3 linked regions of the Neurospora crassa OR74A genome follow. The protein of the gene in region 2 interacts with the protein of the main gene of each other region in a biochemical or structural test. Links are inferred from orthologs where the notes say so. Each region holds a gene or a part of one and is shown on either strand. Other genes may lie near its edges.

Evidence for each region.
Region 1: the proteins of NCU06929 (region 2) and un-18 form a complex in vitro, tested with the Saccharomyces cerevisiae proteins (2 studies listed by BioGRID). The link is inferred for Neurospora crassa OR74A from reciprocal best matches to the Saccharomyces cerevisiae genes SPT5 and RPA135.
Region 3: the proteins of NCU06929 (region 2) and NCU06485 form a complex in vitro, tested with the Saccharomyces cerevisiae proteins (2 studies listed by BioGRID). The link is inferred for Neurospora crassa OR74A from reciprocal best matches to the Saccharomyces cerevisiae genes SPT5 and RPA49.

The regions. Positions count from the first base shown.
Region 1 is NC_026501.1:9,613,394-9,621,721, forward strand, and holds un-18 (DNA-directed RNA polymerase I subunit RPA2), read right to left. Parts: upstream 5,335-8,328; 5' UTR 4,648-5,334; coding exon 4,168-4,647; intron 4,095-4,167; coding exon 870-4,094; 3' UTR 660-869; downstream 1-659. Other genes in the region: NCU08617 (hypothetical protein), read right to left, coding at 6,143-6,222, 6,317-6,515. UniProt on the Saccharomyces cerevisiae protein: DNA-dependent RNA polymerases catalyze the transcription of DNA into RNA using the four ribonucleoside triphosphates as substrates. Component of RNA polymerase I (Pol I) which synthesizes ribosomal RNA precursors.
Region 2 is NC_026507.1:791,491-799,818, reverse strand, and holds NCU06929 (transcription elongation factor spt-5), read right to left. Parts: upstream 5,074-8,328; 5' UTR 4,769-5,073; coding exon 4,403-4,768; intron 4,233-4,402; coding exon 2,015-4,232; intron 1,954-2,014; coding exon 1,373-1,953; 3' UTR 957-1,372; downstream 1-956. Other genes in the region: NCU06928 (hypothetical protein), read right to left, coding at 5,553-7,839, 7,909-8,183. UniProt on the Saccharomyces cerevisiae protein: The SPT4-SPT5 complex mediates both activation and inhibition of transcription elongation, and plays a role in pre-mRNA processing.
Region 3 is NC_026503.1:1,580,149-1,588,476, forward strand, and holds NCU06485 (hypothetical protein), read right to left. Parts: upstream 4,564-8,328; 5' UTR 4,491-4,563; coding exon 4,337-4,490; intron 4,264-4,336; coding exon 3,938-4,263; intron 3,885-3,937; coding exon 3,054-3,884; 3' UTR 2,530-3,053; downstream 1-2,529. Other genes in the region: NCU06484 (hypothetical protein), read right to left, coding at 1-99; stk-43 (serine/threonine protein kinase-43), read left to right, coding at 6,348-6,411, 6,514-6,872, 6,939-7,133, 7,187-7,233, 7,288-7,575, 7,651-8,328. UniProt on the Saccharomyces cerevisiae protein: DNA-dependent RNA polymerases catalyze the transcription of DNA into RNA using the four ribonucleoside triphosphates as substrates. Component of RNA polymerase I (Pol I) which synthesizes ribosomal RNA precursors.

The sequences.
Region 1 (8,328 bases), on a different chromosome or scaffold from region 2:
AAAGTGGAAGGTAGGTACTTACCGACATAACTTCCACACTGATTGACACAAGGAAGGTACATCTGGCACACGATTGGGGAATCCGAATGCCGTGATCGGAAGTCGGGCATCAGAGAGGCAGGTGAAACCCGACATCGGTTCTGAGATTGCTTCCTTCCTGGATGGACGTGTTGCGTGTGAAGTGTCAAGGGAAGTCACTGGCGGTAACTATCCGTATCAGCGTTGTATCCATTTCAGCTGCAGTGTGATTTCATTGCGGAGTGTCTCACCTGGTCATGGTAACGAACTGAAAGTATTTTGGAAGAAAAACATTGCCCAGTTGTGAATAGCTTCATGATAAGTATCGAGTTCTTCACTCGAGGACAGCACTTCCATCATGCTGCCAATTACATCACCAAACCCCATCTTCTTCAACTGCACCATCGTTGACACGCATACCTATCATTAGGGGTCACGGCAGCTATCCGATCGTGTTAAACACAATCTTGCGTCCTGGTGTCATCTCCCACTCTCGTGTTCAGGTACATCGTTCTCTTGTGCTACCGTCAAGTTTGCATTTGTCATCAAACCACTGCTCATAGCCATGAAGGATGACCTGTGGGTGACGGGATTCAGCTCACTTGCGTCAAAGTCAAATCCACTCGAGTGTCCCAACACATGCTACTCCTGTTCATGGTTTCACCATACCATGGGAATAAGAAAATGTCTGCCGGTATGACCGAAACATGAGAGAAAAACATTCGAACATTGCAAATTACACTACCCTAACTTACTCCCATGATGCTGCTAAACACATAAACCCATACATAGGAACTTTTCTGTACCCTTTGACCAGACCCATCCATACCTACATAGAACTCTCATATCTCTTAAGCCGTCAACATCAAATCGCCCGCCTTCTTCCCTACCAACTGTCCCCTCCTAATCTCATCCTTCTTATCTACCTTGTACTTCAGCTTGATGCCCATAGCCGCCAGCTCCACATCCAAGTACTTAAGCGCACCCGGCACCGCAACGATGGTAGTGTTCTCTCCACCGATCCACTGGGTACCGCTGCCATCTTCCCAAATCTCTCCGTCAATCTGCATGAGATCGACATCCTCCATATCGTCGAGCCTGACCGCGCAGTTCCTGCACCTAACAGTGCTGACGGCCTTGCGCTTGCCGATAAATGGCGACACGGTGGGTTGCGTGGAAAGGAAGGAGCCGCACTGACGGCACATCCAGCTCTTGGAGTAATCCGAGCAGTTGAGAAGACGGTCCTGAAGGAGGAACGAAGTACCGTGAGCGAGAAGGGCATCACGCTCCATTTCACCGACACGGATACCACCACCCTTCTTACGACCCTTGATGGGCTGACCAGTCGTAGGCACGACGGGACCAGTGGTACGCACTTGGTACTTGTCGTTAACCATGTGACGCAGACGCTGGTAGTAGACCACACCAATGTAGATATCCGCTTGGAACTCCTCGCCCGTAATACCCGAGTAGAGGGGCTCGTTGCCGTGGTAGTTGTAGCCAGCCTTCATGAGCTGGTGGCCAAAGTAATCGCCCGCCGTGTTTTGCTCGTCGAACTTGAAGGGGGTGGAGTCCTGCGCGAGACCGTGCAGGGCGCCAGCCTTGCCGGCTAGCGACTCGACAAACATGCCAATGGTCATGCGCGACGGGAAAGCGTGAGGGTTGATGATGACGTCGGGCTGGATACCGGTTTCCGAGAAGGGCATGTCGGTGGCGGGCCACTTTTGCGAAAGGACACCCTTTTGACCGTGACGAGACGAGAACTTGTCACCAATGACGGGGGAACGGGGAATGCGCAACTTGATGGAGACGGTCTGCAGGGGCTCGGTGCCATTGTCGGCGCCGATGACGCGGACTTCCTCTACAAAGGCGTCTTCCGAGTCCTTGTACCGCTCGTAGTGAGTGACGCCGTCGCGGTTGACGAGCTGGCCGTTGTAGTCGGCGGAAACGGTGTGCCACGCGCAGATGACGTCGCCCTCACGGAGAAGACGGCCGACGCGAGGGAGACCGTCGTTGTCGAGCATGTCGCGGGTGGACTCCCGGATGGTGCTGTTGGGCGCGAAGCCAAACATCTTGACGATGCTCTTGGCCGAGCGTGTCCTGCTGTCATCCTTGAGACTGACCTTCTTGGTCTTGTAGATGCTACCGTGACCAAATCCTCTCTCGTGTGCCGACTTGTTGAGAATCATGGCGTCGTCCATGTCGTAACCAGTGTATGAAATGACAGCGACGACGGCGTTCATGCCGTTGGGGAAGTTGTCGAAACCGTACGTGTTGTGCAGAGGTGCGCGGACAACAGGCGTCTGACCCGTTTGGAGACGGTACATCTTGTTGTCCGTACGGTGGGCAAGAGCCGTTGCTGGTGTACCCATGGTTTGCTTACCCATCTGACACTGGTACATGTTACGGGGAGACTGGTTGAAGTCGGAGAAGGGGGTCATGTTGGCGAGGATGGAGAGGATGTTAGTAGGATCGAACTCCACGTGGGTAGAATCCCCGGGGATGACCTCTTGCTCCGTGCAGGCAATCGACATGTAAGGCTGCTCCTGAGGACCGACAAAGTCCTCCTTCTGCAGAGGGAGGTACTTGACGGGACGGACCATACGAGCGGGCTGAGAGGACATGTAGAGACCGGGGTAAGAACCGCCGTTGGAAGGAGGGACGTAGCCAATCTCGAGCTGAAGAGGTACGCCGTTCTCGCCGTTGACCTTCCAGTAACGGAGAGTCTCGGCGATGGACTTGCACTCCTCAGGGGTGCACCAACCGACGATCCTGCCATCAAGCATAACGACTACGCTCTCGCTGGTGGCAGCCGAGGAAATGTTGACAACGCCGAGCTCGAAAGCCAGACGAGAAATGGTAGAGGCGTCTACAGACTCCGTCATGATCTTGCACTTGTGGGCCAAATGGTTGAGAAGACCGCAAGGAGAACCATCAGGAGTGTGGACAGGGCAGAGAAAACCCCACGATTCGGGCAAAAGCTTACGGACCGTTGTCGTCTTGAGCTGGGCGAAGAAGGAACCACGATGCACCATGCGGAAGTGACTGATGAAACGCAAGAAGTTGAGCTTCTCGGCAACGACGGTGAAGCCGGAAACCTGCTGCAAATCGAGACCGGAAGGGGACACAAGGTTGCCGGTAGACAAGAAGTACTCGAGCGACTGACCAATGTTTTCGTTGGCCCTGCGGAAGATGGCGATGGGGAAGTCCTTGAGGAAAGTGTCGGACTGGAAAGATACCGTGGGGTTCCTCCTGAGGTAGTCGCGAAGGGAGGCCCGGAAGGAAACGGTCAACAGCTCCTCGAGCCTCTCCTTGATGATCTGGCCGTAGAGGAAACCACCCAGGAGAATCTCCTGGTTCTGGACGGCATCGGGGTTGTCGACAGCGCAGTCACCGGCAACGAGGGCGTACAGCTTGCGGCACATGAAGAGCAGCATGTTGAACTTGTCGGCATCCTGCTGCTCGGTGACGTCCTGGGAGCCGAGATGGACAAGAACAATCTTGCGGAGGAACTCTGTGCCAACCTCGTAGTCGGACATGGTGTCGGGGACGCCGAGAACGACGCGGAACTTTTGGCCGAGGTACGCGCGAGTCTGGGTCTTGCTGTAAAGGCCGTATTTCTTGTAAGTGCGGAGGAGGAGTTCGACGCGGTCGGTCAAGAAGGTGTTGGCGACGCCCTTGGACTGGGGTGGGCCGACAAGACCCTCGAAGATTTCTCGATCGTTTGTCTCAACGAGGGCCTTCATGATCATCATGACGGGGATGAGGTACTCGTTCTTTCTCCACGAGAAGCGGAAGGTGACATTGCCGTCGCTGAGGTAGTGGAGGACGTTGGTCTGGGAGGTCTCGTCAGGGCGGACGGATCGCATTATGATACCGTACGGGGTGTAGGAGGCGCCTCTGTTCTGGAAACTGGGACGGACGATGGCGAGCGGGAAGTTTCTCCGGTTGACGAGGAGCATGCGGATGAGCTTTTCGATACCATTGACGATGAAGTAACCGCCCAATTCTTCGGACTCTTCCTTTCTTGCTACCAGCTGGGCAGGGGAGTTGTTTTGGAGGTGGCACTTGTTGGACTGTTTTTTTCGCAAGCAGAATTGTTAGACATCGATGATGTAGACTGGGAATATCTCGGGTCACCAGGCTTACCTTGACCATGATGGGCATCTGGCCGAGCTCGCGCACAAACTCGTGAGGCTCGCCATCGTTGATGCGATACTCAAAGGTGGCCGACAGCTTGCCCCTGTATGAGACATGTCGTTCTCTGCACTCGGCCGGGAAGATTTCACGGTTCTTGGCCCAGCGGTTGGTGGGCGGGACCTGAGACTTTTGCAACTCGATGCTCTTGTAGCGGATGGTGAGCTTGTTCTTGCCCTGGGGATCAGCGCGCTCATCGCCGTCTAGGAATGTCTTGGTGCCAATCTCGGCCAGAGCGTGGTCGAGAAGGGAAGGCTTGCCATCGTCGCGGAAGAGGGCGTTGAAGGACTCGATGTGGGGGTCGACGGCGGCCTGGAGGGCGGGATAGGCGGTGCGGTCGGTCGGGGGGTCTCGGAAGAGCTTCTCGCGGCGGACCTGGTTGAACTCGACGTCCCAGTCCTGGCTGGTCGGCTGCGGTTGTTGGGGAGCCATTGTGTGTTGGTGTGTGAGGAGGACTTGGGGTCCTGTCCTTGGGTGCAGTATCTCGGGATATGCGGGTTGGTGTTTTCAAGGTGGATATCAAACCCAGAAGTATGGATGGGCTTTTGTCTGCTTTCTAAGCAGCAAAGTGAAGCGCTCCTTGGATTATTCCTTCATAATCTGCCGGCTGGGTATCGGGACGGTTGTCAGAGATATGCGCCGGGGGCATTGATCTCTCAAACGGGATATATGGTTTGGTTTCGTTGTTGACTTGGACTGTTTCCGTCCCTTCAGTCAGTCAGTCGCAAGCGTGGACACCGACCTTCAACTTTTCGAGCGCGTCAACAACTAGAATTGAATGCGCCGCCCGCCCCAGCGCTGCATTGATTTTTTTTTTCCTCGAATTGTTAGAGCTTATCGCTTATCGGACTACTGCCCCACAGTTCGATTTTGTCAGGTTTGGATGACGCTAAGCCGGACGAGGAAGTACCAACAGGGTCCCGATGGCCAGTGAGGTGCTTGGTGCCTGGCGTCGGTGCTGTGTAGAATGCCGTACTGAGTGAGTACTGAGTTTAAGCTGAGGATGGAGGTCCATGAATGGCACGACGAAGAGAGGAGACACAAGATGTGGATGATTCAACGGGCACGCAGTGCAACCTCAACATGTTCCATCCCGGACATGTCAAGATTATTGTGCACAACAGGTGGTTCACTTCTTCCTGTTGATATCAGACCCTTTTTGCACGCCACTGGAGTGTCAAGTTGCTTGCCGTGACGTTGTGACCCATGAGGATGGGACGGGAGTTGGAGGTTCGTCAGTGGTTGAGCTCCACAGCAGGAGACTGTTCATTGGTCCAGTAGTATAGGTGATGACATTTCTTGAGGAGGAGAAAGTCGGCAGTCTTCTCAGCCTTTCCTCACAATGTTGGCTTCTTCCAACGGCCAAATGTTTGCTTTTCAAGTCGAATCCCGTTGGTACACTAGTAGATTGCATTCCCCGAGAGGCCATATGGCGGCCGTCTTCGAGGCCTAACCTCATGGCTTTCCGGTCCCGCCTCGCTTCCAGCCTCCCATCCTAGGTACCTATGGTAGGTAGTTCGTCTCTTTCCCGGCCGAATGAGAAGTGGACTTTGGACACTTTGAGTCGCTTCGGTGATTATCATCAGCAGCAAAAGAGCTCATGGCCCGAACATGGGCGACCACTCTGCCCGGCCCTATCGCGGACTGTGTCAGTATTATTGAAGAGGGAGTGGCCGTCGGCCTATAAGTCAGTCAAACCAACGGCAACCTCAAACCCGTTCATCCCATTCAAGGCCGCAAAAACGGTTAGCACAAGTTGAAGTGGATCAAATGCCATCACTCGAATCTTCATCCGTACCCGGCGCGTCCTGCATTGCCTGTACGTACTAGTCCTCTCCGCAAAATCTATGCAGCTGCCTACACTTATGCACTGCACTCTCCCCTCACTCCGCACTCCGTCAGACGGGATGGTCGTTTAATCGGGCAATCACTGGTAATCTTGGATAGCCATAACTGGCGGGTTGTGGCATTGGTCAATGAGCCTGGAAGAGCCTCGAGTGGTGATTACTGGTGGTGGTTATCAGCATCACTGTTTGTGGAAGTACTAGATAAAGGTCAAGGCAGCAAGTATCGCGGACTGGAACTTCTTCCCTCCACTCACCAAGACATCTCTTAAGCCCGAGGCAAAGTGGCCCTGTCTCCTGGTGACCTTGATTGAGCCTTGGGGCCTGTAAAACAACACGAGCTGCTCGGGTTTCACCATGACTGTATTGAACTTGACGAGAAGCAGTTCGAGTCATTAGAGGTATAGTGTCTCTCCTTGGTAACCACATTCCCTTGATGTCGCCTTCCACACTCATGTGATGGCTGAGGATTGATCGATCTCACTGAGCTCAACAAGAGAAAGTCCAAAGGGCTCCTCCTTCCGTCATGGGCCTTGAAGCGTGGGGAATGGAACCTGCCCCGAAGCTCAATGGGCCAATCAGAAGAAGGCAACTACCCCGCTGTTGCGTCTGTTGGTGGCCTCTACAATACACCACCTTCCCGTCTTGATCCATTCAGGGTTCCTCTTGTGCTGTAGGCTCAGTCTTCAGGTCTACTTACCAGTCCAGTCGCTACTACTGTACAATGACAGACAACAAAAGTCTTGACGGAGTCTTTCAAATTTTCACACAAACTTGACTTTTGACATCTCGGCCTCATATTACTGCCCGTAGTACAATTCGGATCCGTCCTCACTCAACCCTACCAGTCACACACTATCTCCTCGTTCAGCGTCGAGGAACACAAACAACGGTTCTCCAAGGATTACACAGCTTTGGGAGACGGAAGAGAAAAAAGGGACTAGAGCAGGACAGATCCATCCGGCTACCGAGCCCTGATCTGATTGTCCCTGGCGAGCGAGATCCATCCCAGCCAGTTCCCGGTCTTGATTGATTGATTGATTGACAGACGGACGAACCAGCAGCCATCTTGCGTCCACATATCCAACGAACACTACTGACCCGAACGAAGGCGACTTTACCAGGCTAGACTAGACTCTGTTGATTGATCTACATATTCTACGTACTGGCCCGTTGACTGCGCACGCACAGAACGCAAGCAGACGGGAGCACTCAACCAACAACAGAAGCAACAGTCCCTGCAGTATCTGCCATCTGCCATCCGCCATCCCATATAAGGGAATCCCAGCATCAGCATCAGCATCAGCATCAACATCCCGCAGCGGCAACCTCCAGTTCGATCCAACCTTATACACCTTTCCCATCCGCCCTTAAACCAAAAGACCCGCCGATACTACAGTACCTACCTGACTCTTCAGTCTCCAGCCTAGTCACCTTCAGTTGTCTTGTCCCGAGACTTGACCATTTTGGCACACCGTCTTCTCTTCCTCGTGCGACCTTCAGTCTTATTGCCGCCTCCGCCTCTGCCGCCATCAACCCCAGTCTTTCCCCCGAGCTAGTCTAGTCTCTAGAGACCCTAGCATCGATTGATACTCTAGACACCCTGCTTTTGCTCTTCCCGGTCCCTCTTTTCAGACGCTCTCGTCCGTGATCACGGGCGGGTATCACACAGTTCCCTTTCTAGTTCCAGTTGGCGACTTCCGTTTCCAGTCTGTCTCCCCCGCCGATGATCATCTCCCAACACTTGCTACCTCGACTATTCTCGCTCATCGATATCCGCCATCGCACGCTCGCAGTCTGATCACCGCCAGCAACTCTGGTTTACTACTGCCCTGGGAGGGAAACGAATGAAACCCGGGTCTTAGCCGCTCTCATCTGTGTACTACAGTTAACAAAGTACATCCGTCAAATCATCACGGCTCGGGGCACGGACCACTCTTCCTCCAGAAGGCTTCCTCCAGAAGAGAGAGGTCATTCATCATCTCACCTTGGCGAGCGGCGGCCCGTACGGAATCCCAGTCGCTCACACACACACACCTACACACAGTCAAGTCACCCACTCGGTCACTCTCACACCCGCGCGGCACCCCAGCAGCAGCCAGACAGCCAGACAGCCCCGCGTCGGCTTCGGACGGACTATCCTCAACCACCCCATATCCCACCCAGATCGCACAAGAACTGCATCTCCCACCTCGTTGCGAGATTTGCCAGCCCGCGACGGGTGTGCCAGAGTCATACGAGACATTCTACTTTTATTTTCTTTTCATTA
Region 2 (8,328 bases):
TGAACGGCGTACAGCTTAATCGACGAATGGAGGAAGAAAAGAAGAGAGAAAAAGGAAGAGAAGGACATTGAGAGGGAATGGTGATTGTAGGGGGTAAACAACCATTTCAAGGCATCACATCGGACAAAGAGACAAACGAGGGCATTATTCTTCCGCTTGCTTCCTTTGGCCCCCTTCGAATACAAGTAAAGGTGTTTGCGTTTGCGTTTGCGTTAGTGGAAGTGGGTGGCCCATTGAAGGGTAAGCTGTACTGCTGGTGGTTTCTGTGGGTCATGCTTTAGCTAGAGGTAATCTTCTTTGTCCAAAGTCAAGGACGGGAACCTTCGAGGGAGAGCTGGAGTTGCTGCATGCGAACATTGTGAAGCTGGGAGACAAAGAAACAGGCTGGCAGCTCGAACCAAGCATTGACAACCCAGCGTGTTTTGTTTGCTCCGGAATGGGCAATCGACACTTGACCAATCCGTCGGCAAGGGGAGAGAACAAAGCCATCATTGTGTCGAGTTCTCGTTGCGACGGGAACGTCGTCGTCCTCACATCAGTCAGTGGACTGTGACCGAAGGGGACAACTTGTCTGTCTCTCTTTCAGGCCCCGGCCAATTGCTGACTGGACCCCATGGCTTCATGGCAGCTGAAGTAAGAGATTGAAAGAAAAAGGAACAGGAAGTCAAGGAATCAAATAAGTCGCGAGTGTTGTGGGCTGACAATTGGATTCTCTCCAGCTTTGTGTGTGGTGTTGATGTTGGAGAGTGGAGATGGATGTCGATGCACGGATGAAGCTGCGAGGGAGAACAACACAGGTCTGTGCTTGGCGGCGGCAAACGGTACGCTAACCCTAACCCCTGATTCAGCATTCATCATCATCAAAGTAACAAAGAACATGGACACATTTCGACGTTCCAGCAATTTAACTGCCTCGACTTTATAAGAGAAAGTAAAAGAATTATACTTCATAGGATGGGTCTCGATCATTCCATGCATAGATATTTGAGCCCAAGAAATTACGTAGGAGTAGTAGACAGCGAGGGACGGACAACGTGTGAAGACATCAAGGGTATCTCAGACAAGGCTGATGCTTAAGCGATGAATATCCTGCTCAAGTCACGGAAGAACAAACACCAAGCTGAGGAAACCGCCTTTTCCGCTAATTTATTCCTCGATTTGCTTCCATTTGCACTGCATCATACCCATGTCATGCTTCCTTTGTATCCTCATTTTCCACTGGATCCCTTGCGCTCCTGACTTTTCCGTCTTGCAAATGACTGACACCCAGAAGACCCCAACTAACGTACAAAAAATCTAGACGCCGGACAACAAACGTGAAAGCTTAAATCACATCCTCCTACACCCTAGGACTCATCACGGAATTTGGTCTCTAATCATCATCCGCATAGCCCGGTGCTCCCGGCGTAGGGGCACCCAGGGCACCCGGTGTCGGCGCACTTACAGCATCACCGCCACTTCCCCAGCCACCCTGCCAGGCCCCAGGAGTGGGCGCGCTGACAGCAGCCGGCGTCGGAGCCGAGTACGCCCCAGGTGTAGGAGCGTTGAGTGCCGCGCCGGGAGTGGGCGCGCTTAGACCGCCACCGGGCGTGGGCGCATCGTAAGCTGAGGATGAGTTACCGCCGCCTGAAGCGCCGGGCGTGTAGCCCCAGGCATCGCCGCTAGCCCCAGGCGTAGGAGCAGAGGCACCGTAACCGGGCGTTTTGGAGCCCCAGCTGTCGGAGCCGGCCGACCAGGCTGGTGTTTTGGAGCCGTGGCCGAAGCTGTCGGGGGCGGGGGTGCGAGAACCCGAGTGCCACGCCGGAGTGCGGGATCCGATGCCACCGTAGGCGGTAGCACCACCGTAAGGAGTGCGGCTGCCGTCGTAGGGATTGACGGTACGGGAGCCGTCGTTCCAGGCCGGTGTACGCGAGCCGCCAGCGTCGCGGTTCCAGGCAGGGGTACGGGCTGTGGCTAGTGACAATGTTAGCTTCAGGCAAATAGTGATGATAAAACATGACAACAGAAAACTTACATCGAGAAGAGCCCCAAGCCGGTGTACGATCCGATCCGCCCGAAGCCATAGGGGTCCTGCTTCCAAACTCGCCGCCACCACGTCCTCCTCCACCAAAGCCACCACGGCTGCCACCGCGCTGGTTGATGTCAATGGTCTTGCCAGTGACCTTGTCCTTGAAGCTCAAATCAGCCTTGGGAATGGTGATAATCTTTCCCCTAGAGTGCAGCTCCACACGAGCATGAGTGTCCGTTGTGTCCTTGACGATTCCGAGCAAGCCCTTGTAACCACCGCGTCTAATAACCACGGTTTGGTTAATGGCCCGATCAGGTCCGAAGGTTCGCGGAGCTGGCATTTGCTTGCCGCTAGCAGTGGGGTTCCGCTTCAGGGCTGGGTTCATCGCACTGAGATCTGGGCCCGCAGTAGCAGTGTTGCGACCACCCTTGGCCGCGACCGTGGTGACGCTGTTAGCCCGAGTGACGAAAACACCAGCATTCTCGTTGGTGGTCGTGGTGTGAAGGAAAATGTAAGAGCGATGAATGTGAATGATCTTGCCCTGGCGTTGCTGGCCACCATATTCACGGACCACGTCGTCCAGCCTGATTTCGGAGCCGTTGCGGTCAGCAGCCACAGCGAACTTCCTCTTGGGGAGCTTGTTGGTGATTTGCGACGGCTGGACCTGTTTGGTATCGCCGTTCTGGTCTAGCACCACGACTGACTCGCGATCAACCTTAACGATGCAGCCGACAGTCGTGGCATCCAACTGCACAAGATCCAAGAGGGAGTACTGTCCAAGAGAGCCTTGGCCACCAATATCAGATGCCTCACGGAGGTCTTTGCTGAACACGGTGATCTCCGTGTTGGTCTGGTCTGTGAGGAGGGTGACTCTGTCGTCCACGATCTTGACAACCATACCAACTTCGTCACGGAACCGGCTGCCACCAATGACCTTGACGTGGTCACCAATCCTGAACCTCTTGCGCAGACCCTTGTTGGGGACGTCGATGGTCCGGCCAGCAAGATCACCCTCGGTAACCTGCAATGTGACGATGTCGCCTTGAACATTGGTGGCCTTGCCGATGACACCCTGCTGCTCGCCCTCATACACCTCGATAATATCACCAGGGACGTACGCAACACTCTTAGCGCTATCCTTGAGAGTAGCAGCAAGAGCCTTAAGATCGAGGTTCTCTGTACCGTCCTCGGCTCCACTGGCGAACTTGGTAACCTCCTCCAACGTAGGGTTGACATTCTTGACCTCGAGCTGCTGGATCTTGATGTCTTTCACCTGGAAACCGTTCTCGAAATCATCGCCGTTGTAGTTCCAGCTGTTGGTCTGCGGGTTCCCCTGGAGGTAACGGGGGTGTCTCTTGCGCGCCTCGGCTTCACTGAACAGACGCTGGGGAGGACGAGGGCCGGGCACACCGGGGCGCTTGCGCTTGCCATCGGCCTGGAAGACGGGGTCATCCCTGACACCGTAGTCGAGTCTGGGAATGAAACGGACTCTGGCCTCGAGGCCGTTTTCTGTAACGTCGATAACCTGAGCAAGATCACCGGCGTGCTTGGCCGGCTTCTTGAGACGAACCCAAGCGCCGGGCTCCAGGTTAGGCGTCTTGATGACACGCAGGAGGTCGGGCATGTCCTTGATCTCGACGAGGTGCATGTTGCTCCTGGGATAAACGTTGAGAATGCCATCGAGAGCCACGAGAATATCGTTCTGTCTTTGAGCCTCAACGTAGATGTATCCCTTCATGACCGAGTTGATACCACCACGTTCGAAAGCAGCCGTGATGGGGACCTCGTTCTTGGTGCCCATTCGCTCTTCGATACGACGCATAATCGAGAAGATGACCTCACGCTCCTTTCCTTCTTTACACCTGACGGCCCAAATGCTGGGGTCCTCGACACTGGGAAGAAGCAAGCGACGGGGCACAATGGCCATGTCTCCGTAACCTCTAGCCGGGGCGCGCTTGCCGTAGCGCTCACGCAGGATCTCTGCCTGTTTCTCAGCGTCGAGGCTGGCCTCCATCTCTCGGCGGCGGTCGAGCTCGCGGTGTCTTCTGTCATCGTTAAGGCGGCCGCTGTCGGCAATATCGTCAGGGTGGGCATTGTCGATGAAGTCCTCTATCTCTTCACCGTCGCCGACTTCGTCTTCTCCCTCGTCTTCGTCGTCAACTTCGGCTTCGATATCGAAGAAGGCAGCTCTACGGTCCTTGTTGCGACGCTTGCGACGATTGCCCTGCGGACAAAAGACAGCGGGTTAGCTAGGTCCCCGATGTGGCGACACGGGTAGGTTTGGCGGGTCATCTGCACCGGGACTTGTCTTTTGTTGTTTTTTTCTGGCAAGTGTGGATGGGATGGTGCTGCAGAATTGAAGTGTGGAGGGACATTATTGGGATCCGGACTTACACCATGAACATCATCCTCGTCTTCCTCATCTTCCTCTTCCTCTTCGTCCTCCTCTTCCTCCTCATCTATCTCCTCGTTCTCCTCTTCATCTTGCTCTTCATCCTCGTCATCGTCGTGGTGATCTCGACGCGATCGCTTGGCCGGGCGCGCGTCTTCCTCTTCGTCATGTTCCTCCTCTTCCTCTTCTTCGTCTGGTACCGGGCTACTAGCCTGCCTCACGGTCTTACCAGCGGGGCGGTGGTTGTGCGTGGTCTCTTCGTCGTTGTCGTTGTTCTCCTCGTCCGACATGTCGGCGGGGGCGGGGTTGAAGTTGTCATCGTCGGACTCGTCGTCGGCGCCGGCGAACTGCCAGCTGTTTGACGCCATTCTGAATAATTTATCTGAAAGAGAGCGGCGAGCGACAGGGGTGTCGTACAGTCGTACTACCGGCGGTCGCGCGTTGTGTCGAGGTGTGGGCGAGAGATGGAAAAGGAGAGAGGAAGGGAGAGATGGCCGTAGGTCGCGAGATGTGGGATTATATTTGTAGGTGAGAAAAGGAAGATTGGCTGGCCTCGAGCCGATGGATGATGTGGTGGGAAATGGACCGACTTTTGAGGCGTCGACTCGCTGTGAGTGTTCAGTTGCAGACTTGCAGCAGCAGCACCGCGGGTCGTGAGGCGGAAAGAGAGCTGCACGGCCCACAACTGGACAGTGAGTGGGTGGACTTGGAAGCACGGACGGTCACACCTCCACCCCCGGTTGGTTGAGGACACTGGACGGCAGGGGAGTGTGCTGCTGCTGCTGCCAAGCACTGGAATAAGCCGCTAGGCTATTCGCGGCCAAGGTCAGGTCTCCGGCCGGCAAGAGGTTCCTTTTGTTCAGGTTACATTCGACCAGGACCTTGCAGTCCAGGACGGGTACCTAGGTAGGTAGAGATACCTCATCGTCTATTCATTTGCGCACGTGGCTGAAGTACAAGTACTTTCAGCTGATAGAGTATGTAGAAGAGAGCGCTGCACCGTGATAACCTCCCTTTCGTTTGCCCTTGTCAACACCATTACTAGGCAACCTTTCATACCTAGTAAACACGGCCAAGTAAAAGTCAACTCCTGGCAGAGACAGACAGACAAAACTATCTACATGATACAGCGCTCCTCCAGGAAAAAAACAATCACCTGACCACCTCCTTATCCTTCCGGGTGACCGTCTGAATGAAGCTCTGATACTGCTCATCTTCCGCGGTCTCCATCATGATTCTAGCATTCCGCCTCGGTGGAAGCTCCCTAATCTCCGGCTTGGGTATCTGCTTGTTTGCCGTCGTCCACAACACTCCCCCCGTCCTTGCCGCCTTTGGCGCTTTCAGTTCCGCCGCCGCCGCTTCCTCCGCTCTTGATGGAGCATCAATCATCACCACCTCCTTGTCCTTGTCTTTCTCCTTCGCGTGTTGTCCCTTTCCAGACCCGGCCGCGCCGGCCCCGTCCTGCGCCTTATCTCCTTCTCCTTCGCCGTTCTCTGCCGTCTCGGTGGGTCTGGGCAGCCTCATGGCCAGTAGAACGTATTCGCTTCGTTGCATGGTATCCATGATATCGTCCATGTACCTCTTGACCTCTTCCTCCGGCGCCACTACTCTTGCCAAATTATCCAGCACATGTTTGCCACTGGGAGCCGCCGTAAACAACCTTATAGTTATGGGCTGGTAGTAATCAAGCTCCGGGTCCGCCATCGGATATACTGCTTTGCTTCCCCTCCTGATGATAAGGAATGACGCCACCACCTGCTGTTGCTGCTGTTGTTGTTGTTGCTGTCCTTGGGTACTGCTAGCGCTGCTACTGGGAATAGTCTGATAATCCAGAATGCTGAACTTCGGAAAGAGGTACCGATCACCGTTTCCTCCCGCAAACTCGAATACGATGGCCGAATAATCAGGTTGTTTGGGCGGCGGCGGGGGGCCCTTTGAACGAAGCGCCTGTTGGGCCGATGACTTGTCGGCTTTCTCTCCTTTCTCCTTTGTGGCCTTTTCGGCCTTCTCCGTCGTCTTCTTCTCCTCAGCAGCGTTGGCCTGTGAGGTCGTTCCTGTACCGCCATCAGTCCCATTGCTCGCGCCGTTGGTTTGTTTCGAAGATCCCGCTGCCGAAACCGTTGATTGGCGTCGTTGCTGTTGAGTCTTTTTAGTGACAAGGTTAGAATGCGCGAGGTCCAGAATCGCCTTAAGATCCGTGGCATCGGTGGGTTGAGGCTTATTGTGGGCTATACGCCGGACCATTTCCTTCGTCTTTTCATCGTCCAGGGCCATCTTTACTAACGAGACCAGGAGAGCATCGCTGTCTTTGGGCGGCTGTAAAGTAGATGATTTTTGCTTAGGGTTGGATGCTAGAACAATGTCAAGTATTGCAGCTACCTCATCCGCAAAGTACTGGACCGTTTTTCCATCGACAAACAACTTATCTGCAGCTGGTGGCGCCGGAATGTTGCTTTGCCGTTTGCTCTCTGACGTGATGGCGTCAATGATACCCTGGAATCGCTCGAGTTCCTGCTTGGAGGCCTCTCCCTGGGCCACCCGCTTCATGAGATCTCGGAGTTGGGGGTCTTCGCCAGCCTTCTCGGCTAGCATGAGAATGATTGGATCTGCCCCCGCAGCTGGCTTGGCTGGTGCGGCGCCATTGGCAGTGGTTCTTGGCGTGGCAGGAGCTGCTGGAGCTGCTGGAGCCCCTGTTGCTGGTCTGGGGGGGACACCAGATGGTATTGAGGGGGTGGCCGGAGTCGCAGCACTTGGTGGAACGGTTGGTGGGACGGGCACTGGTCGGGGTGGTTGCGCACCAGCAGCTGGTGCTGTGGTTGGGGCCCGCGGAGCCGCCAAGGACGGAGATGGTGAAAGAAGTGATTCGATGCCTCTAGGCGTTCCAGCGGGCTTCGCGAGCGTGGATGGGGCCGCAGCAGCTGGACTAGGAGCACTTTGCGCGGATGGTTGTTTGGTCGGCTGTGTCTGTGACGTCGGGTGTACTGCTAGCTTGCCTGGTGTTTGAGGCTTGGCCTCCGCTTGTTGTGTTGTCTGAGAGGTGACCTTTGGATCTGCCTCTGTTGTGGTCGGTTTCTTGGCGTCTGATGCAGCTGGCGTAGGTGTTGACGAGGTTGAGGCCGCCACTGACTTGGGCTTGGGTGTAGGAGGAGGCGGCATGACCCCATTCGGAGGTCCGTATTCGAGGATCGGTCGCTTCTCGGTTGGCGGTTTTGGCGGAGGGGGGTTGGGGTCCTTGACTGCGAACATTGTCGCCTCGAAGACATGTGGCTCAACCGTGATTGTCACCTGGCCCAGCTTGACCATGCTGTCCTTGGGAGGATTGTTGGGTTCCTCGATGACGGCACCCCTCTTCTTTATCGGCTTCGTCCAGTACTTTTCGAATATTTGCTCGGTCATCCATTGGTTACGCGATCGGACAAAGGACTCGTGGAGAACGCCGCTGCGAAGTGGTCATGTTAGATTCAGCCAAAGCGCATGAACGCGCGGGGGTTTGAAGAGGGCTGCACACCTTTCTTGCAGAGTCTGATAGTCCTTGGTCGAAAGGTCTTCCGGCTGCGGTTCCTCGACGGTAGGAAGCGGCTTCCCTGCTGTGACGGAGCTGGGCAATGTCTGCTTGGGTGGCTCCTCCACAGTGGGCTCTGGCTCGGGCTCCTTTTGGGGCGCGGGCGCTGGGGTGGAAGACTTTCTCGAGGTCGGAGGCGTGTCGGTTTGTCTTCGCTTGGCGGCCTGCTCAGACCTCGCCGCGGCACGAGGAGGTAGCTTGCGCTTCTTTTCCGTAGTCATGGCTTCACGCACGCGACCCGACCCGGTACGGTACGGTACGGTACGGTACGGTACGTTTCTCGTCGTGATGTGGAAGTGAGAGTGGTGCACTACGCAATCGGCATCGGGACCTAGACAATCGCGAATGTCGAGGGAAGGTGAATAT
Region 3 (8,328 bases), on a different chromosome or scaffold from region 2:
GGTTCGTTGCTTTTCGGCAATGGGGTCGAAGTTTTCGTCTTCGGGATCGGATTTGTTAGGGTCGAAATCCGTGAGAAAGTCCTTTTTACGCTTAGACATAGCAGATTGTTGGTGGGGGCAAAACGGCTAGGTATAATGTGGTCCAATAAGTGCTGCAACGAATAGCTCTGAATAGGACTGGGGTTGGTGGTGGACAATAGTAGGGTGGATTCCGATGGGGTGCCTATTCCGTCCGATGGCGAGAATGGGGGCAAAAAGCTAGCGGTTGGTGAATTGTTGAGCTTGCGACTGGCTATTTCGATGCGATGTTTATTGATAACAGCTATTCAATATCTAGCAGCCTGCATGAATAAGTCGTGTTAGGTCCGTGTGTGCCGTGCAGAGCAAAACAGGATGCGTCAACAGGTCAAGGGAAGCAATGGGAAGTGGGAGCAAAGGGACGGGATGGAAAGAGGCAACTGAACAACCAGAAAAAAAGAGAGCCACATACAGATTTATGTTCTGTCTGGTATGGACCTAGGTGCCGTGGGGGGGTGAAATTGGGTCAACACTCGGTCGGCTCTCACCTTGCTGTCAGGTTGACGACTAACAGGAGGTGGGATGTACCGCTGCATCGACGGAGCACTTTAGTTCAGGTCGAAGTTGCCTTGAGGTTTGGACAGAGCAAAACCTATCCAAGGGCGCAATTGAGGTAGAGCCAGACAGAGAGTCGAAGGGCATCTAGGAGAGGCACTGGGCAGGTAGGAGGATTTGGTAGAATGCGACGACTGATGCGACGATGCTTCTTTTTTTTTTTCTTTGGGTAATGCAATATGCATACACACACACACACACGGCAGCAGACACGCACACACACGCGAACACACGCCCGGCACTAGACTAGACTGCTCGCTGGGGAGTTGAAGTCGGACTGCGGTGCCGGTCTTGGTGCCGAGCTAGTATGTTATGTAGAGGTTGTAGTAGTGAAGGGAGGCAGCAGTGTGGTGCAAATCCTCTCGCGCGCGCGCATAACTTCCCGAGAGGAGAGGACTTGAAGCAAACTCCAGTCGTTATAGTTGAAAGTCGCGAAGCTGGATGGATAAGTAGCTTCACCTCGGCGGGAGATATCGAGTGCAGTCGGTCAGATGCCGTGAATTGTAGGTAGGTTGTGCAGAAGGAAGGCAGGACGGGAGGGAGGCCAGAAGCAGGGGCAAAGACTACCTAGGACTGGCGTGAAAGAAGTGTCACTGGAGTTGAGGTGGTGAGTGAATGAGCGTGGTGAGCTGCCTGGGGTGCGGCAGACGGGAGGCAAGAAGGTGGACAGTCAGCGGTCGGTCGGTCGCGTTCGTTCCCTTCATTACCAGGTAGGTCGTTCGCGGAACTGTGAACTGGAATGAAACTGGAACTGGAAGAAAGGCGCTGGTTGGCACCGTCCTGGCCAATCAGCACGCCCAGAGACCACAAAAGCTGGTCCATGCGCTGCAGGCACCAGCCCCGGCATTGCGAATCACCTCAGAAAAAATCGCAAAGTACCCCCTGCCCCGACAATTCGCCCGTCGACCCAACTTTGACGCGTCGTGAATTGAGCACTCGTATTGTCGCTGTCACCAACACAAAATTGCAGAGAATGGCTGCTCAGATTGAAAGCAGAGACATCAGACAGCATTGGGAAAGGTGCATTGAGTGTGTAAATGCAAAATTGAAGCCGCAATTTAGAGAGCAAAATAATCTGTGGAAAATGGTCGTTGAGAGTGAGACGCGTCTCAGTTGAAGATCCCAAAAGCTCTTTAAAAGAGGCAATGTCGTCATACCATTTAAGCTGGTCGGGGTGGGTGCCGGTGAGGAAAACTGCACTGGCTCTGGTCGCTCGGTGGGGATTTTCCCCACGTGGCTTTCGAATGCGGCTCAAGCGCCTTCACTCTGCACAACGCCAAGGGGTCCAACTTAAGGGGACTGGACTGGAGCGAGGGGAAGCACAAGCAGCGGCCGGCACACGGACGATGGGATGGTCAAGGCAATGGGCCAGGGGAAACGGGGAGGACGGACAAAGTCGGGGACGCTTTGGGGAGGCACAAGGGGAAGGAACTTCATCGTGGGGTGATCGGCTTCGGCCCAGCCCTACCTACCACCGACGGCGTCTCACACCGCGGGGCGGCCAGCGGCCAGCGGCCAGCGAAAGGGGACAACGGTAGAAGGTGACGCCTGGGCGGATGCCCATCCAGGGCAGCCATATAACTACCTTTTCATCTTGTTTTCTTCTAGCCTGGCCGTCGGCTGCTCTGATATCTGCGTAGGATTTGCCGCGGACATTCTTCCTGTTACATATGTTAGCTTGACGTTCGTGGTTCTGATTTTGCACATCAACTGGCGTTAGCTGGTTCAGGTTAATGATCATCTCTGCCCCATTACTCATCTCGAAGCCCGTCATCAGTTCCCATCTTCGTTATTGGGTCCGTGCGGATATCAGTAGTAAACAAACACAAAGGGGTTGGCCAAGCGTTGAGGCACTTGAGAACCAGAACCCAGGGGGGCCAGCTTTTTGTGGGGTGACCCTTTTCCTAGATTTCAATGTCATCTCTTTGACCCCATTCAGAGCTTGATAAAGACTGAGGGACAAGCTTCCCGCCATACTTCTTATGGCCCATCAATTTCCATGACTATTCTCTACATTGTCTATACAATGATATATGCTTTCTAGCCTAGCTTTTACTGCCCGAACCACAAAATAACTGATGTATACCTCGGCAAGATGCTCAAATAGTGCGGTACAGGTCATGGCCTCCTCTCGATTAGGCGCTTGGAATTTTGATTGGCCAGCGCCTGGGTGTCGCTTGGGTGTGTCTCAACAACACACCATGGTGGTTACAGGCTGGAAGCGGCCAGACTTCCAACTGAGCTGGATGATCGCTTCTCTCGCAAAAAGCATGCCTTTTCTCAGCACTTCGTAGGGTACTTCCAAACGTAAGCGCCAAGATGTCCAATGTAGGACTGGGTGGATGATGTGCAATGCGCACAATCCAACTAAACTTGATGATATGATCCGTGGCCGTGGGTCCGGCTCAGCAAAGCGTGGTTTACCTCTTCCGTGCCGGCAGTCTGATCTTGGGAAACTGAAGAGGCAGTTGCAGGACGGCAAAGTTCTCCATCTTGTCAGCGACCTTCTGTTGCTTGACGCGAGCTCCAATCTCGATAAAGTATTGGTTGAGCTGCTTCTGCTCCAGCTTCAGATCTTCTCTCAAGTCAATCGTGTTGACCCTGAAGCCGTCGATGATGGCGGCAAATGCGCAGCAGTGCGTCATCAGAAGGTCAACGTGTGTCTTGCGCATGACTCCGCCGTCCGAGAACTTGCGGCGGATGTTTTCAATCACGATCTCGGGCGCTGGTGCCATAACCTCGCGCAGCTTATCCCTCTTACCAATGCTTCTTGTGCCACGCTCCCTTCCTTGCGAGGTGGCATTCCAGAAAATGATGACGAACAAGAGGTACCGCAGTACCCTCAATCTGTGCACCGCGTCGTCGCTGCTTGCTACGTTGGAAACGCGCTTGGCGACAAAGCGCGAAGGTACCTGGATGTCTTCTAGGTTCTTGACGCTCTCCTGCCAATCCATCACTGGTATCGCGTTCAGGACCTCGGATCCGATAATTTGGGATGGTACGTAGACGTCTGCGATTTCATCGGCATTGAAGTTGCCGCGCGGTACCGGTCGGGCGTTGTCGACAGCGGCTTGAAGGTCTTCCTTGGTCGACATGTCCTTGGTGGCGGTCTTGATGGCGTCCATCATCACCAGCTCGCTCTGGCCAACCTTTTGAGATGTAATGGCGTTCTCCGTCACGTCGCGGATCGCCTTCTTCGCCTTCTTAGTACCGAATGCCTCGCCGAGCTCGTTCCTCATGGCCATCATTTGCTGTTGCACCGTCAGTCTGGTTTTATGCCCCTGACCACTACTTCCAGGCTTACCTGTTTCTGAGTCTTCTCTTCCATTGCCTCGTCAACCGCCTTCTGCGACCTAACTGTGCCACGGAGCACCATCTTGCGCGCCTCTACAATCTCAACCTCGGCGGTTTTGGGGTTGAAGATGCCAATGTAGTGCTTCAGGTATGGGTCGGACGAGTCTCCTGTCCTATCTTCGCGAGCTGTGTAGTCCATCGTCCGGTGGTTGGCAGAGTGCAGCAGCAACTCTTGTGCGGGCGCGCCATTCTTCTTGCGCTTCGAGGTCTTGTCGGCTGGTGTGGCGTAGGCTTGAAATTGTATGGACGAAGAGAGAGCGAGTCCCGAGGTCGCGGCTAGGAGCGCATGTTAGAGTCTTCCTCCATTGGACTTGACGGCCATGGTTTCAGCCGATCAACATGTGCTTACCCACGACCGGAGGCGCATACTGCGGCCTCTTCACAGCTCCGACATTGATGAACTTGGGCGACTTGGACGATTTCTCGGAGTCGACCTTCTTCTTCTTGATTTGGGGTGTTGTATCCTCAGCGCTCTTGCGCTTCTTGTCTGATGAGCTTCCCATGGTGGTGTTTGCGGGCTACAAAGGTGCTGGGGTAGTGTAGAGTCGTGAAGTCCCGCCAAATCAAATGGATCATGCAGCTGGAGAGTCGCTGTCTGAACTTCCGAGTGGATCCCGCAGCCAGAAAAAAATTCTGCCGCCTGCCGGGGTCCGGTATCAGTTACCGCCTTTACAATCGACACACCACATTTGATGACGACGATGCAATATGTTTGATGATTTGTGTTGAAATACTACGAAGCGCGAAATCTTCATGCTATGAAATCAATTGCTATTGGTTTGCTGTTAAATTGCTTGGAGAGATGAAGAATAGCAAGCCGCACGCGTGCTAAAACAATCAACCAGACATGGAGGGGTTCAGTCCAAGTCACAAGGCAAACCAAGGCTTGGGACGCGATTTCTATGCCCTCGTGCATGCAGGCCACTGCCTTCCCCGTCGTTGAAAATGTTCACTGATGTTGCAAAAATTGGTATTCCCTTTGTGTGCAAATGCCATGTCACCTGTTCGAGGGCAGATGACCATGTTGTCGACAGAAACAATTGATCCAAGACATGCAGTCCCGTTTGTCACAGATGCAGAGAAGTGTATCATGAAGCGAAGCGGCCTTTATTGTTGCTGCGACGGGTATCCCGAATTCGCGTCTCCAAACTAGACAGTTTGCTCCCACCGGCGTTGATCCGTAAACACCTTGTTGCTACTCAACCATGAAGTTGACAGGCAACCAGCCAATACCATATCCGCCACCAAACAGTTCCGTTCTATGTGTGCCACAGTTTGATGTGCAGCATGTCCCGAGGGGTGCATGTTCCGTAGGAACCCTGAGTTCGCCTGATCACCGCAAGGTTTCAGAGCGACCGATGTGGCGTCATTCCGCGCTGAGGGGAGGAGTCGACACCGAGCCCAAGTTGTCTAATGGCTTAGAGGATAATGTCAAGAGCTGATTGGGTCGAGTGAGGCGAGGCGTTTATTTGCTGGGATCGAGTCAGCTTATATGCTCCTGAGTGGCGATTGTAGCTGCATCAACTGTCGATGCGCCGATGGTGAAACTTACGATCTCGCTCTCATCTTTCTTCTCTTGCGCTTAAGGCGTCTCACGCGCTTCTTTCTCCACTTCGCTCTCATCTTGAACTGCTTGTATGTCAGTAGGCGGGCAAGCAAATGCTGGGGGGCGGGAGCGCGTACATCTTGGATTTAAAGATGAGTTTTGCTTGTTGGTGATGGGAAAGAGTTTCAACTTGCGAATGGAGAGGGGGAACTTTTATCTCATAGGGCTCCAGGGCAAGCAGCCCTGTGGGGTAAGTCAGGTGACGCAGGCCCAAATTGCCCAGGCCTGCCGCTCTTTGTTTGGATGCGGTCCGTGCGGGGTGCGACCTTTGCCCTAGGTGGCCCAAGCTCCCGCTGACGGACGGGAGCTTCAGCTGGACTGCATCAGAAGCTCGGCTCGGAGATCGACTCCCGTCTCGTCCTCCAACGAGCGAGCCTGCCTCCCGCTCCTACTAATGGACACTGCACTTTCACTTCACTTGCAAGCTGCACCCGTCCAGGTCAAAGGAAGGCACGACCTGTCTGCATAAAAAGATTTTCACGATAGCTGGACATGGGAAGGAGGAGTCGATCCTCAAGGCACCAACTCACTCTTCCAATCTCGTCCTGTGATCTTGAACTCTGAGTGTCGTTCCCAACCTTTACCTACTTCTACTTCTCAATACGCAAAGCCACGGTGGGCCATGAATAGTCAACACTATCTACGGACGCAAGTGACGACATCAACGCATACATGAGTGAACGTTGACATTGCCGGCTTTATCATTATCATTATCCTTTGTTTTCCGTGTCTCGGTGTTGACAGCTGGTTTGATATGTCGCAACCGCCTGTGGCAAGTGTTTCCTTCGAAGACACTAGCACTGCTCCTCCTACAAGAGGTAGGTATCTGTCATTTCCCTGAAGTGATCGTGAATACTGTGATGTATCCCTCGCTGGTCTCCTCCAACCAGTGCTCCCTAACTTTCGTGTCGCAAGTCCAGGCGGCTTTTACATCTGGCCAAACCAGACAGTCAGAATTGGTCGTGACACGGACCGAGATAATAATGACGTTGTCTTTGTCGATTCCACTGTCTCAAGAAACCACTTTGAGCTGTATTCTATCACTGTTGACGAAGAAGGTCGCCATACATCACTTGTGTTTGTGCGAGACCGACAGTCTTCCAACGGGACTCTGCTCAACAAAAAGTGCGTTGGGAAGAAGCCAGACATCACTCCGGGAAGACTACTCCAGAATGGGGATGTCATCTCCATATATCCTTACATCACTTTCAAGTTCGTTCAGCTCGAGCAGGGAACTTCGTTTTTGCGGCTCACTGCACGCCAGCGAGAGGAGCTCAAGGTACTATTGTTATCTTGGCGTGCGACGAAAATAAAACATGCCATGATCTGACTTAGCAACATCCAGCTCCTTGAGAACCGATACCTTGTGGAAGACCGCACATTAGGAAACGGTGCCCATGCTGTGGTCTACCTAGCCACAGATGTCTTGACAGGGCAGCAGGTGGCTTGCAAAGTGCACAACTTAGATAGACGGCCCCGGTCACACCAGATACTCCGTCGGATCAAGCAGGAGGCAATGCTGTTGAGCTACCTCGATCACGTAAGTCATTGAAAGGGCACGGGACGATGGATCAAGCTAACAAAAGTCGTCAGCCGAATATTCTTTCCATCAAGGCTGCCTTCGAATCAGAGCATTCGGTGTAAGACCTTCATCACGAGCAGCTAGCAGGGTTGGGCAACTAATGTATCTCTAGGTATATCTTTACAGAGCTGGCTACTGGTGGCGATCTCTTCTCACTTCTATCACGCGAGGGGGCACTCCCCGAGCTAGAAATACGCTGGATCATACGCCAGACCCTCAATGCTGTTGACTACATCCACAACAAGGGGGTCGCACATCGAGACATCAAGCCAGAGAATATTCTCTGTGCCATAGCGCCAAATGTCTCCTACAGGCTTGTTCTCTCCGATTTTGGGGACTCGGCTGTTACGAACCGTGGAAGATTAAGGTCCGAGGTTGGAACAACCTTCTATCGCGCCCCGTGAGTTTCGCACTTCCCCTCCTGGGTTGACATATGTCACTGGATTGTTGAGAGCAATGCTAACGCTTGATTCAGCGAATGCTATAACTCCGAGCGAGGTCATTCATTGTCTGTCGACATCTGGTCCATTGGGATGCTTTGCCTTCAGCTTTTCTCTGGATTCCAAGAACTTCCGAATCTTCGTCATCTCGATTTTACCAGCCAAGACAGAATCGACCGCTACCTCAACATCATCCTCAATGACCTCGGCTGTGACATTGCTGTTCAAGATGGCGATGAAGACTACGGCAATGACAATGAGCCCATTGACCCTCAAACCTCCCGCCTCCGTCCAGATGAAAACATCTCAAGCCATGCAAAGGACTTCATTCGCGGATGTCTCACCTACAACAGCAAACACCGGCTCACGGCGCGCCAAGCTCTTACTCATCCCTGGATATGCGAGCCCGAGGAAGATGACAGTCTCTTCAGACGTCTTGAAGGCGATAATGCAGCTTCGTGGGAGCCTAGGAAGATTCGGCTCGCTCCTTTCATCGAAAAGCTCGATGCGACCACTGATGCGCATAATGGGAATGGAGAACAAGAACTTGGTACGGCGGCAGAGCCTATGGGGGAGGAGGAGGAAGAAGACGAAGACGCCAGTGCTAAGATTTCGCCACACTTTCAGAGGGACCCGACTCCTTTCCTTTCGTGTCACACCTTATCATCAGCCCATCAACAACGAGAAGAGGAAGACACAGATCACCCACTAAG